Linked DNA regions of Caenorhabditis elegans. The protein of the gene in region 1 interacts with the protein of each later gene in a pairwise test. Each region holds a gene or a part of one and is shown on either strand. Other genes may lie near its edges.

Region 1 (7,944 bases):
AGGTGCTGATGACACCACCCCAATTGTCGTTTTCTTGCCGGGAATCACAGGAAGTACTCATGACAGCAGCTACGTTCTCCATCCTGTCAAAGAAGCAAGAGATAAGGGCTGGAAGTGTGTGGTCGTGAACCCACGAGGACTTGGTGGTGTTAAGCTGAGAACTACTAGGACGTACAATGCCGCCACTCCACATGATTTTGCGTTCATTGCTAAGATGATTAATGAAAGATATCCGGATGCAAAGAAGCTGGGATGCGGGTTTTCCATGGGAGGGTGAGTGTAGTTTAGGAGCTAAAAAGATTCAGCAACACGCTTATTTTCAGAATGATTCTCTGGAACTATCTAGCGATGACTGGAGAAAATGCAGATCTGGACGGAGGCATGATTGTTTCTTCTCCGTGGGATCCCCTTGTTGCTTCTGATTCTATTGAATGCTTTATTCCACAACTTATTTTCAACAGCTTTATTGCAAAGAACTTGGTAGATATGGTGAGACCGTAAGTTTTGATGTTTTTTCGTTTATATTAGTAAGGTGTTTATTTTTAATATTTTAAATCTGATGACTTTTAAACAACAAACGTAGTTGGTATAAAAAATTGGCATTGAGAAAATTTGAGGAGACATGAGCAGGCCCTGTGCTCAAAGAGCTGGCAAGCTTCTCATTAAGTGATTGGTTTTTGCGCGTTAATTTGAAGCAATTCCTTTACGCCCAAATTTTTAGTATTTCCTGCTAAGCTATTAATGAACCAAACCCCTGAGTTCATAAGTAGCTCCCACAATTCCAGGTACCGCGAGCTATTCAAAGATATGGTGGATTTTGACGAAGTGTGCAGATGCAATACGGTTAGAGGGTTTGATCGATCTTTTGTGATTCCCATGTATGGGTTCAAGAGTTGCGATGACTATTACAGACAGGCTACTTTGGCGACAAAGGTAACATTTGAAACTTGGTTTGTAAAAATTTGAAAAATCAATTTCCAGGTAGACAAAATCAAGATTCCATGTGTAACACTGAATTCTGTTGATGATTATTTCAGCCCGGTGGAATGTAAGTTTTGGTTTGAACAGCTTTGAAAACTAATGTTCATATACAAACATGAGTGCTTGCTACGTTTCTCTAGTTCATAATTAGACGTGTTTGCTCTACGGTAATAACAGCAACCGACACATTGCGGGTTGCAAAAAATTATAAAACGTGTGGAATTTTTATGAAATATATATTAAATATGTAATTGAAAAGCTAGTTTTCTAATTACATTTTTTAAACAAAATACCAAATTTAATAATTATTCATACATTTCCCCTATTTAGGCATCCCTACATTAGATATAATGGAGAGCGACTACGTTTGCGGTATTATCACCAATCACGGAGGACATACTGCTTTCATGGAGTCTGCTGATCCAAATGCGCGCGGAATGGTGGAAAAGTTGCTCTCGCAATGGGGAAATATGATCTTCCATGATTATTCATGAGCTTTGATGGATTGTGCAATGTTTTCAAATTATACGTATTATTTTTGTATTATTAGGACTATTACACTTTTTGAACAATATCAGGTTTTTCAGTACATCCCGGTTTTTTATTATTATTGTGATTTTAATTTAATTTTTTAAATGTGCAAAGAGTTAATGGTTGCAGATATGACTAGATGAAACTCTTTTTTTGTCAAATAAAAACTTCAAACACGAATTGAAAATAGTGTAAAATTAATATTTGGCTGCAGTTTCATGTGAACGAAAAATTGTGTTATGTCCTTCAAATTAGAACCAGCCACCTTGCATTGAATAGTCATAAATCTGTGAAGTTTGCGTTAAGCTGGAGCTTTGGTAAAACCCTACCATAAGTACAGGGAACAATTTTGAAAAGCTCTGATACGAGTTAATTATTTTAGTACCAGCCGTGGACCGCACCTACGGCGCGGCCCCCGACTTTTTTGAGAAAACACATTAGATATACGGTGTCTATCGCGGACCTCGATCGATGTCTGCTGCGCATTTAGCATAAGGTTTCCCAAAATTTCGTTGCTCTGATCGGAGATCAAACTACATAGGGACAGAAGGACACGCGCTTTATATATAGTAAATGATAATTGTTGTCCTAGTACATCACGCATACGGATAATAATTCTTATACATATTTCATAGACTTTTGTTCAGGACCAAGTTAGTATAATGAAAAATTGGAGAAGATTCAGTTTTCTTCAGATTTTCTCCGACAGAATGCAAATTCTCCTGCTCTACTTCTGCTCCACTTTTCCACTTTTTCCATCTTTCCTCACTCTCCACAGCCTTCCTCCGTCTACGTCTCCACTAGCCTAGCCATCTCTCAAAATCGATGCTGGCACTGGACACTCACCCGACGCGGTGACAGAGACGGCCGCGGCCTAGAGTTCTCCATTTCTTTTCTTTTACCATATGTTTTTATACACGTTGGCCACTAGCTCTTTCTACTAATCAACCATGGATCTCGTGCAGTCAAGCCGAAAATTGATACAGGACATGATCCAACTTGCCGGCTCGCAGATGAAATTACTACTTATGGATGGGGAAACAGTGAGTTGATTTGAAAGTGTAAAAATGTAATTATTCGGTTAGGAAAAATAATTAAAACTTGTGTCAAAAAGTTATACTAAAACGTAAATTAACAACACGTTTTGCAAATTTTTCAGTAACATTTATGTCTATTTTTGAATTACTTAATCTAACAAAATAATAAATAATAAATATAATAAACACTTAAAATATAGAGGAAATCCAAAAATGAGCAAAACGTATTGTATATTCACAATAGCCTAAATGTTTATTATGAATTTATATCAGCTATAGATTTTTAATAAAGTTAATGCTTAGATTAGTATGAAAAATCATATAAACATACAATTTTAAATGATGAGTAGTTTTTTCACACGTTTTCAAATAAAATCAACGCTAAATTTTTTTCCAGACTCCAACAGTGTCATGCGCATTTGCGCAGTCGGAGGTGATGCAAAAAGAAGTTTATATATTCGATAGAATTGAGAACAAGACCTCATCTGAAAACATCAAAAACTTGAAATGCGTGGTATTCGTCCGGCCGACACCCAAAAATATTGAGCGACTGGTGAAAGAGCTCCAGGAGCCAAGATTCAGCCAGTACTATCTTTGTGAGTTTACAGAAAAAATACTAGTTTTCAATGAATATGCTTTTCAGATTTTACAAACACAATCAACAAATATGATGTGAAGCGGCTGGCTGAAGCAGACAAAAATGAGACTGTAAGTAGTACTTTTTATTATGGACAGAACTAATTTTCAAGCTGCGTGATTAAATTATGAGAATCAGAAAAAGATTTATTGCTTTCCGACAATAACTTAACGATGCAAAAAACTTTTAAGCAATACTAATACGCTATAGGATATGTCAATAGTGTATTTTTCAACAAATTCCAGGTGCGTGAGGTTCAAGAAGTGTTTCTAGATGGAGTTCCTATTCGTAAAGACTTGTTCACTCTCAACTTGACACACATCTTCGACTCATCATTCACGTTGAAAGAAGAAGCCGCTGAAAGGATCAAGTGCGGAATTATTGCGCTATTGTTGCAGTTGAAAAAGGCTCCAGCTGTTCGGTGAGAGTTTTGAAATTTCTAATTTGAAAATTGGTAAAGGATTGCGGACATTGACCTTTTTTTTGAAATTTTGGTTATTTATTAGTCATGTTCATGCTTTTTTATAAAGGTATCTCAATTTAGAGAGTGTTCGCAGCTTTTAATTCTAAAGATTGATTCAATTTCTCTAAAACTGATCCCTAAAATATACGATTGAGAAAAAAAATTCATTCGTTTGTTTTTGTCTTTGGTCTACAAGTAGTATCCAATTGCGTGACTGCTTTTGTTTTTCGTCTTGTACCCAATTTCCTTGTTCTAAACAAAAAGAAGTCTTTACCCCAACAATACGATTGTATGATAAATTAATTTGCACATATACATACATATCATAACTATCGCGCAGCTGAAAATTGGCACTACATCGCTTGAGCAGAAGTGTGCTGCAATCAGAAATTTTTGGCAATGCTTGTAATTGTTAGACATAACACGCTGTAGTTTTGTTTTTATTGTAATCTGGGAGCTGCTACATGCGAAAAACTGTATGCAATTGTCACTACTTTGTTGCATACTTTTACAATGTTTTTTTTTCAGATACCAAAAGTCTTCACCGAGTTGCAAAAAAGTGGCCGATGATGTAGCACAATTCATTCGCCGGGAAAACGGGCTTTTCGAAAACTCTAGAGCTGACACCACTCTTCTGATTATTGAAAGATCCCAGGACGCGGTGACTCCTCTGCTCAACCAATGGACGTATGAAGCGATGATCCATGAAATGCTCACATTGACAAATAACAGATGCACATGTACTGATCAGAACATTGTGCTCAGCGAGCTTCACGATGAATTTTTTGCGAGAAATATTACTGCCAACTTTGGAGAAATCGGGCAAAATATCAAGACGTTGATCAGCGAGTTTCAGGAGAAAAAGCATATTAACAAGAATTTGGAGTCGATTCAGGATATGAAAAAGTTTGTGGAAGACTATCCACAGTTTAAGAAGATCAGTGGAACAGTGTCGAAACACGTCAGCCTTGTAGGCGAACTTAGTAATCTTGTTCAGAAGCATAATTTATTAGGAGTCTCAGAGGTAATACAGTTTAAAAAAACGTGTCAAAACGTAGAAAGTGGTTTCAGGTAGAGCAGGCAATTGTGTCAGATGGGGATCATGGCAAATGTATCAATCTTGTTCGAGGACTGCTGAAAAATACGAAAACCAGAGAAGTGGTGAGTAACAGTAACATACACCGCAAAAAAATCCGGAATGAACATTTTTAGATTCTGAATGCCAAAACAAACACGAGAAAATACTGAGATTTGTTATCGCAAATGACCAATTACCGTATTTCCTTTATTAGTCTTGCATGCAAAACTAATTTTCAATTGGTCCGTAGGGGTGCAAGACTAATAGAGGCTGCAAGACTAATAGATGAAATACGGTATATATTTTCGCCAACGTGGTGCTCAGGAAAGGATTTTGTTTCCTGTATCCTATAATTTTAAGTAAATTCATTAGCTACTTTAAAATTAGATACTACAGCTTCAACAAACTAGGAAAAATAGCTGGTCATTTAGTCAGTGCAAACATAAGTTTGGTCAGTGCATACGCAAATTTTTTTTTTCAAGGCACACAACACTGAAGTGTGTGCTATATTTTTAAAAAATTTATTTTGTTAAATGATACATAGAAGTATATAATTATATTTTTAATTGAATTTAGTTATCACGATCAGTACACCCATTTTCAGGACATCATCCGTCTTGTGCTTCTCTACGCTCTTCGTTTCGAAAACGCACCCGGCAACGAATTAAACTCATTGATCAGTCAACTCAGACCACAGGTAGGCAACTGGTGTATTCTGGGTTTAAAAAAATTTCATGCTTTTTCAGCATCCAAAAATCCATCAAACGGTGTCGACGCTGCTCAAATATGGTGGACTTTCAAGGAGACCTGCCGATTTGTTTGGTGGTGAATCGACTATTGACATTACGAAGAGGTGAGCAACAGTGAATCAGCGTAATCAAATATTTGGGCTGAAATCTGGGCTTAGTTTCGGTTGATTTGGCGGCTTCAGCAATTTCTGATTTGGTTCAATTTTATCCGTTACTAGTTGTCTAAATCAGAATTTCGAATTAATTTTTGTCTACAGTAAGCAAATTTAGCGATTAAAAACTGCTTTATTTATAAAAGAATTACAAATGAGTTTTGCAACAAAAAATATTAATTCATTTGACCAGAAATTTATTGACACCTCTAATAATTTGACAAAACTGACTGAACATTAGTAGCACTAAAGAAAGACTCAAGATTTACAAAAGGTACATGGTATTCTACCTATAATTTTCAGGTTCATCAAAGGACTCAAAGGAGTTGAGAACATTTACACCCAGCATTCGCCGTATCTCAAGAACATGATCGAGTCTTGCCAGCGTGGGAGGCTTGACAACTACCCGCTTCTTAGCAATGAATGGTAAGTTCTAGATCTACTATAATGCTTCAAGCTACTCAATTTTCAGCGACCGAATGGATAATATTATTGTGTTTATTGTGGGTGGAGCCACATATGAGGAGGCGGCTTATGTGAGAAGCTTGAATGAAAAGCGGATGCAAGGATACGGAGGGCCTGCTGTTGTTCTAGCTGGGAGTAGCATGCTAAATACAAAATCGTGAGTATACAGGCTTTAAAATGAAACCACGTCCCCGGTAAAAAATGTTTTGGCTAAGCGGGCAGACATTAAGCAGTAATTCTGTCGTTTTTCGATTAATGGGTATACTTAATGCTATAATACTAATTTCAATTGGCTATTGCATTTGTTATGGTTCTGTAGTGAATGGAAAATAAGTTAAATTTACAGATTCCTCGAAGAGTTTGCCAACGTCGACAAAAATACGGGAGCTGTTCACTGAATATCTCAAAAGTTTCAAAACTTCTCGCAGAGTCTATTTATTGATTTAATTGAATTGTCATCTTTTCTTGTGATATATTGAGCTTCTTTATGAAATTGCTTTTTTTAAAATGAATATGTACTGTGTACAGTGCCACCACTAACGGTCTCCCTATTGGCTCAGCCGCTGTTAAGCCGTGGAGAGGCCTACCGCTTGGCTTTTGAGTAAGTTGAAGCATGTTTGGAAGCTTTTTGATCAACCGAATTTACCAGAGGCATTTACAAAGAAACACTTTTTCAAAAATATTTCCTATACGTGAATTTATCATTTCAAAACCGTGTCGTTTTGAAAACCCAAACACACCCAAAAATAGTGTGTGTCCTTTGCCAATAGTGAATAACAGATATATGCGCTAATTTGCTAACCAAACTGGCGCCGTTTCGTTTATACTGTCAGTGAATTGTAGTGTTAGGTGGTGCGTGACTGGCTGACCAAGACAACAAAAATTCTTGATATCATTCGTCAAGAGAAACAAAACCTTAAAGCGAAACACCTTCGAAAAACCTTTTTAGTGTGATTTATCACTTGACTTCAACTTGAACAATGGACTACTACTTCAAACTTATCTCTGTAGTTTTTATCGTAATTTTGGCTATCCAATCGCAGGCTTTTCCCATTGAAGAGACTTCGCTAGGAAGTATTAATGGTACGTTTAATGCACTGCTACAGTTTTTGAAACCAACTTTGAGCATTGATCAAATTGCAAGCTTGCAATCAGCCCATGAAAACTGAGTGTTTTAAATTTTAGCCAAGCGGTTTGTGAAATTTTTTAACGTTCAGTGTAGAACGTGTCCCGCGCGAAATTTAATTTAGTTAGTGCGACATTTTTTTTGTGAGTGTAAAAATTAAATAGACATACACGAAATATTCTTGATAAGTGCAAAATTTGATTTGGTGAGTGCAAATTTTATCGGCAGCGCAGAGATTTTTGGTCAGTGCATAGATGATTTTTCGAATTAATGTGGAAGCCGTTTGACCGAAGCAAATTTTTGCTAGAGCATAATGTTAAGCCTTTTTGTTCATAGCATAATGTTCTAGGTTAGTGCAGAGGTTGGGAAGTACTATTTATTTTGTAGTGCAGTGATAAATTTGTGTCAGTTCTATTGGTTTCGTCAGTGCAGGGATTTAGCTTGGTCAGTGCAAATTTTCAACTCGGTCAGTGCCAATGTTTTTTATCAGTGTATTTGGATAATATCAATTTTGTCGTCTCAATCAAAACCAGGTTAAAAAAATGTACTCATGAAACTCAGACACCAGTCCCTCATTAACCCACGCAAAAAATTGAGTTTTTAAATGAGTTTTTAGGAACATCCGTCATCGCAATAACACATGGCAACTCGGAGCGCCTCAAAGAATTGATTCCATCAAAAAACACAGAGAATGATGATTTCAATCTGTTCGGAGGCATGGCTCT
Region 2 (7,122 bases), on another chromosome or scaffold:
AAAGAGAAAAAATGTTAGAATTTATGGTTTTGAATTGTTAATTTTGAATTTTAATTTTAGGCGCCAAACTCGAAATTGACACCGAATCTGAGGATGAAATTGAATATAGTAATGGCCATTCACACCGTGGAACTTCTTCAAGATGTAAGGGATTTTTATGTATGATTTATTGCAATAAAACCTATTTTATTCGGAAAATATATCTGTAGCATAAAATTGAAAAATATCACGGAAATTATTTAAGAGATTTTCTAAATTGTTCCTCTATAAAACTTCGTTACTTCATCAATAATTATGATCCTTTTTAAAATCATGAAGATTGTGGGATCGATGCTAAATTTTTCCTTTCGAGTGAAAACTGAAGAAATTCCAAATTTTGACGTAGTAAAAAAGTAAGATTCTGAAAATAAATATCGATGTTCTCTGACTTTTTTATCTGAAACTATTCTTAAAATTAAAAAAATTGAACGAAATTCCAAGTTGCTTAAATAATTTTTTGTCACTCGAATATTTTGAATTTCAGTGCATTCTCCTCGTCAAGTGAAGAAAGAAAGAATGGATGATGAATACGAAAAAATGGCAAACGGGCATTCTTCGTTAACAAACGGAGTGAATGGACACTCTAAAGGACCAACATCACCAAAACGAAAAAATGGAGATATTAGAAGTTACTTCAGTGCTACACCAAAACCTGCAACAACAACAAATACACGAAAACTTAGTGAAAATGGATCAGAGGACATTGAAATGCCATCAGATATTGAAGATTTTGATGCGAAAGCAGTTGGTTCTCGAATAGTTGCAAAATTAATTGCAGGAGGTATTCTCCCTGATTCAAGTGCTCATATCTTTGAGCAAATGACACAGGAAAACTATGAAGATGGAAATAGTGCTGGAGTATCAACAAAAGTTGAAATGAGTGAAGAAGGAAAAGATGATGCAGAAGATCAAGAGATTGGAGAACTTGCAGAAGAACTCCAAAATCTCCAAATGAATCTAAAAGAAGAAATGGCTGCTAAAAATGCTCTTTTCATGTTAACGTGGCGACGAGCTAAAGCTCATTTTGCTTTCTTCCACACGTTTAATGAATTGAAAAGAGGCGATTATGATGTAAGTTTTTTTTTATTTTTAAATTTAACTATAAATTTTAATCGTTAGAAGTTTTCAAGAACTAGCGAACTTAAAAAGATTATAAAAATTTTGAATAAATTATAATTTTTTTTGGTTAATGAGCTCAGGGCTGCCGATCTTTTAACCGGAGAACGCAAATTTTTCGGTTTTTCAGAAAATCAAAAAAAAACATTATGGTTCCCGGTTAGAAAACGTGATGTTTCTTGCTGCATCCTGCTGCATGGAAATATATTTTTCTAAAGAAACCCGAAGATTTTTCGAATAACCGAAAATTTTCGTTTTTAAGTTTTTCGATTTTTTAGTCTTGCTTTAAAAAAACCGAAAAAACCGAACATTTCTTTAAATATTCTTATTTTTGCATTAAACCAACAACGTATTTTCACATATTTTTTTGTTGAATGTTTTCTCGAAAATTAAGATAATTTGAAATTTTTTAAAATAAATAATTTACAGTTATTCAAACTTGGTGTCAACATGTATCGCGACTTCCCGAATCGAAAACTTCCTGGAATATCAGAAACTATTCTACTAAAACATTCACTCCGAAAACGTAATCATCTTGCTCGAACCCACTACAGTAAAATGTATCGTCGCCATCCGAAATTCCGTTGGCATCGTGACCATTTGCCAGCTGGAAGACGTATTGATGCCTGATAGTGTATATCAAAAATAATTTATTTTCAATTTTTTCTGTCAAAAACCCAATCATTTTCTTTCAAAATTTCATATGATTTTGCTTTGTTAATTTTTTTGTTTCGACATGTCTTTTTTTCAAAACGAGATCTCCAAAGTAACATTTTTGTGTAAAATATTAAGATTGTAATATTTATTTTATTATTCTATACCCGGGTCCCTTCTTTTCGTGTTCCTCTCTCACCTCCCAAACAGATCCGAAAAAACTTGAATTGAGCCCCCAATTATTTCAAATCAAAAACCGAATCATATATCATAGACCATCAAACATTATTTCTTTTTCCATTTATATTTCTTTCATGTATTTTCCAAATTGCACATTCTTCAATGACGGTCCTGCTCTATTGCGATTGAGATGCTCTCAAAAAAAGTGTCTTTGGGTAGCACAATAAACGACGAATTTTTGAAAATTGCTAATTCTGTAAATATCATAATTTATTTCTTACTGAGCACTTACACATAACATATCTGAACAATAAATATTGTTTGACAAATAATTGATTGCTCTTCTTCTAGTTGTTTTTGGTTTCTGCCATTGTTATTATTGACGTGGCAGTGCCGATTTTATTCATTTACGAGGAGGAGAACGACTACTTTATGTCGTCCCGTCTGCGTCTCTTCTGAATAAATATCACCAATTCGCTTTTTTTTTCTTGGCAGAAATGATTGGAGCAACTGGTTCAGGTGGAACAGGAGGACATAATGATGTGGTTAGACAGGTTAGTTGGGTTTTATTTAGTTTGAAAAAAGTGAAAAGAGTACTGTAATTTCAAATTTTATTGCTGCGGAATTTTCATAGATTTTTTTAAAGTTATGCTTTTTAATTTTTTTTTTTTTTCAATAATTTAATATATTTATTATCAGCGAAAAACTATAAAAAATTAATTAAAATTTCTCAGAATAAAAATTTAGGAATTACAGTACTCTTTAAAGGCGCACAACTGTTTGTATTTAACAAAGATTGTCGTCTCGAGACCGGGTACCGTATTTCTGGAGCCAAAATCACAAAAATTGTGAAAAGGATAGCAAACTCGAAAAACTGAAATTAAAAAACTAAAAAAAAAGAAGAGTCATTAATATTTCTAATTTTCAAAGGGTTTCATCTGTCCATTTTGTATGGAAGACTTTGGAGAATACGAACGACTCATTTGCCACGTGGAAAATGATCATCCGGAAGAAGATAGCAGTGATTTGGCTGGAATGTTTGTGTCAAATGTTAAGGGATTTTTTGATAAAGCTAAGCGAGGAATTCAGAAATTGGATGCGAAGAAAAGTATCGCAGATCTCGCAAGTGTAAGTTTTGGCTGAAATAACAAAATATTCAATTTTAAATTTCAGAATGTCGAAACAGAATTCACTGAAACTACTGAAAAGCTTGTCGAAAGAGCACCTCTTCCAAGAATTCCAAAACCTCTTCCTCCTGATGAAATTTTACCGGGAACTCGGAGATCAAAAACGAGAGAATTCTTATCAACAAGAGAATTAAATATAAATGAAGTGGCTGTTCGAACGAATATGCTTATTATCAGGCTTGATAGGCTTATTAATGGAGGACCAAAGGATAAGGATCCAGTTAAAAGAAAAGGTATAAAACCACTTTTAAAAAAATTGATGGATAAAAAATTTCGATATTTTTTATTAAAAATTCTCCCGAATTTTCCAAGTAATCAAATCACTAAATAAAATCATCACTAAAAAAAATTTTTTTTTAACACTTATAAAATTTTCCAATTTGAAAACACATTTGAAAAAGGTTTACTAGTTTCAATATCCAAAAAAAAATAATATGTGAAAAGTTTCCACTTTCAATTTTTCCGATAATCTACTCAAAGCATATTAAGCTTCTCGCGAGAAGGTTGCTTCTGCCAAGTTACACATCCAATATTCCAATAGTTCTCAAAATAACTAAAAATCTAAAAGTTTTTTATAACAATATCCAATACACTCGTTTCCAACAGAATTTGAACGAGAAGTTGTTCCATGGTTAGATGATGCTGAAGCAGTATGTTGTCCATTGTGTGCTTCTCGATTCGGTCTCACTAGACGACGTCATCACTGTAGATTGTGTGGAAGGGTTCTTTGTCATTCGTGTAGCAAATTTCTTTCGTTTGACACTGCAAGTGAGTCATTTTATTTAAATTTCAATTTCAAGGGGTTATCAGAAAATGAGATTTGTCGAATAGTTTGCAATATATAAAATAAATTTCAGAAACACTCACAAGTTCTTCAAATCCTCTCGGGGACACCCATATAATTGTTGAAGAGCCGAATACTGTAGAAAATGAACAAGAACTTCTACAACCGGAAGAAAATGGACGTAGATCATTTTTCTCGTTATCTCAAAAATCGATGGATAAGATGAAACGAGCAATGGCTGGAGCTGTTCAAAAAGTTCATTCTGCAGCAACTGGAGAGGAAATTATAGCAGGTGCACTAAATGAACAAGATCTTTCTGAACATATGAGAGTTTGTAATCTATGCCTTCGAGATTTACATTTCCGAGAAAGTCAAATGGATAAAAAAGAACCGCCAGAATTTGTACAACAATATGATCTAATGAAAGTAATGATTGAGGAAGTGAAGAATCTTGTGCCAACTTATGTTCGAGTTGTCACCAGTTTGAAGTAAGATTATAATTTAATTGAATAGTTTTTGTAATTAATATTCTTTTTAGAAATGGTGAATCTGTATATAGTCATAAACATGGTGAAGAATTACGATCGAAATGTCTAGAAATTCAAAAGAGTATAGATTATGTTAGCAAGAAAATAGCGGAAGGAGCAAATGATAAACCGAATTCTGCAAAAGAGCAACAATTAAGAAAGAATATTCGATTATATGCAGTCCAAGCTCTTCAAGGTCTTATTGGTCAAATGGAATCCCTACCAACAGCCGAAGAATGCTCGAATCTGATAATAAAAAGAAAAGAAAGACGAGCTAAGGATTTTGCAAGAGTAAACAGAACTGTGATGAAGATGTCAAGTTCAATGCCACAACTACAGGAACAACATTCACACTTAAACAGTACAAGCAGTGTATCTTCATTTGGAGGCCCATCATCGATTGACGATGGATGGAGTGCGGAAGATAATGATCTGTAAGTTTAAAAAAAAATTTTTTAGAATCATATTCTGAACGTTTGTTTGCATATTTTTATATCCATATGCAAAACTAATATTTTGAGTACGCAGAAAAAAGATCCGCTTTTGAAATCGACGTGGAAACTCGCTTCATAGCAAATTTGAAACGCGCCGCCTCGGAACCATGGGTCTCGTTAGGTATCTGTAAAACCGTAAACCCTGAAATTTTTTAAAAAAAACCTCATTCACTTTTCATCTTCACATGTAACTATTTTTAAAAATCATTTCGGCATAAAAAGCATTAAAACATGAAGAAAAGACGAAAAGTTTGAATTTACGGTTTTGCCACCGAATACCTAACGAGACCCATGCTTCGGGGGCGAAGCTTTTTAAAACGACCGTGAAGCGCGTTTCTACGTCGATTTCAAAAAAGTTTTTGCGACCCCATGTAATAGCTACGCCTTTCTTGAAGTGAATTCGCCAAATTTTATCGCTTCTTTTGAGTTCCAGAGTATTCGAGCCGAGTTCAATCGAAGATGATACAATACAAACGGATCATCCCTTGTATGAGCAACGAGAACAACTTCGGAAGTTTTTATTTCAAGCATCAGCAACAGGAAAACTCGATGAGATGGACATCTTGGAGAGAAATCTCAAGGAAATTGAAGAAGAGATGATGCGTCTTGGACTTTCATGTTAATAATACAATCCAGTCAATTTAAAGCACGCGATTCAAACTGTGATATAATATTTTTCTATTTGCATATTTATGATTTTTTTAAATATCTGTGATCTTCAATGTTTCCTTTTTTAGAAATTTCAATTTTGCAATATATTCTGATCTTTGAATAAATTTTACATTGTAGTTAGATTTTATTCATGAATGATTGTATGCATTTCAAATGATAGAATAATAACGACCCGAAACGACGAAATGAGACCAATTGGAAAGTAATAGGAAAAAGAATATTAATAGAGTCCACCACGGCCTCTCGATCTGAGAATTGAGTTTAAGCTGGGCTGTGGTCGCACTGGAATGGCTATTCCGTTTTCATCAATGAATACTTCATTTATTTGTTGGCCATATGTCCAACGACGGGGAATTACCTGGAACAAGAAATATTAGAAACCGAAAAATAAGTATGTTGCAAAATATAATTTTGACTTATTTCACGCATGGTTTTACAGTTAGTTAGTAATTTTTTGAAGCGACTTTTAGAAGACGCTCGGATTGGCCTCACTTACCGGCCTTCCTGCAACTGACGCAATCGGGCGTATAAAACTTTTGTCTTCAATATGAATTCTGGATATCGAATCAGATTCTATTCGGGCTTCATCTGGATATGGACCAAGTCTTGTCTGTGTTCTACGCTCCTTTAGCTTCCGATACAATCCTTGCATAGTCAATGAAGAACATTCTGAAATTTATTTGATACTTAATACATACTTATTTTATTTTAAAATTTTATCTTTTTGACCTATTTTGAAGATATTCTGCTAAAACCACCACTTGCGGAAGTCCTACTAGTACGAAAACCAATGTAAATGTGTAAATTCGTTTCAATTGACTGTGACCCCTTCCTGCTTCAAAAACATTTCATAAATGTCAGATTCTGAATATAAATCTAGTTACGATGACAGATCGGTTTGATGATAAGAAATGATTGAAATGATGAGATGAGACTTTGTACGTTTATCGATGAGTATTTGAACCGAAACCGATTCTTTGGTTTTTCAGTTTCTCGATGCAATGATCAGAAGACGGAAAAAAATGTTCATTGGAATTGTTGTTGTATCATTCATTTAACTTATCAAAACTTGTCACTGAAAACAGAGAAAAAACGGTTCTACGAAATGGCGAACAGGTTTTCGACACGTTGAAAGCATCATTTGATAGTATTTTATTGAACGATCAGGTATAAGAGATTGGGTGTGGTTTATTGATTAAATGTAGTTTAATAGAGTTTAGTTAGGATTATTGAGTTAAACTGGATACGGAGATATTTATTGTTAAACAATAATTATTGTATCATACACTGCAACTTATCATTTTTCGCTCTATTAGACTTGCACCCCTAGCCCCACTTTGACAGCTCGAATCTGGGGTTTCTCTGGTTTTATCACAAGTTATCAACTGGCAAAATATTCGGAAAGTACATGGTTATCTACATTCTGACAATTAAACATTTTTAGTAAAGCGTAAGACAACCGAAATAAT

The links. The genes of interacting proteins can lie anywhere in the genome.
Region 2: the proteins of vps-45 (region 1) and rabs-5 interact in a two-hybrid assay, tested with the Caenorhabditis elegans proteins (one study listed by BioGRID).

What each region holds. Positions count from the first base shown.
Region 1 is NC_003284.9:969,271-977,214, reverse strand, and holds vps-45 (Vacuolar protein sorting-associated protein 45), read left to right. Parts: upstream 1-2,366; 5' UTR 2,367-2,462; coding exon 2,463-2,555; intron 2,556-2,946; coding exon 2,947-3,145; intron 3,146-3,192; coding exon 3,193-3,257; intron 3,258-3,431; coding exon 3,432-3,607; intron 3,608-4,177; coding exon 4,178-4,673; intron 4,674-4,720; coding exon 4,721-4,810; intron 4,811-5,331; coding exon 5,332-5,424; intron 5,425-5,473; coding exon 5,474-5,580; intron 5,581-5,931; coding exon 5,932-6,054; intron 6,055-6,100; coding exon 6,101-6,250; intron 6,251-6,439; coding exon 6,440-6,491; 3' UTR 6,492-6,632; downstream 6,633-7,944. Other genes in the region: Protein abhd-3.2, read left to right, coding at 1-273, 324-497, 786-933, 982-1,048, 1,312-1,475; C44C1.6 (Neuropeptide-Like Protein), read left to right, coding at 7,074-7,176, 7,836-7,944.
Region 2 is NC_003282.8:8,102,963-8,110,084, reverse strand, and holds rabs-5 (FYVE-type domain-containing protein), read left to right. Parts: upstream 1-2,484; 5' UTR 2,485-2,486; coding exon 2,487-2,543; intron 2,544-2,919; coding exon 2,920-3,117; intron 3,118-3,162; coding exon 3,163-3,409; intron 3,410-3,782; coding exon 3,783-3,944; intron 3,945-4,033; coding exon 4,034-4,448; intron 4,449-4,498; coding exon 4,499-4,921; intron 4,922-5,408; coding exon 5,409-5,604; 3' UTR 5,605-5,760; downstream 5,761-7,122. Other genes in the region: Y42H9AR.4 (ELM2 domain-containing protein), read left to right, coding at 1-13, 61-144, 524-1,110, 1,585-1,785; Y42H9AR.5 (FMRF-Like Peptide), read right to left, coding at 5,874-6,011, 6,150-6,322.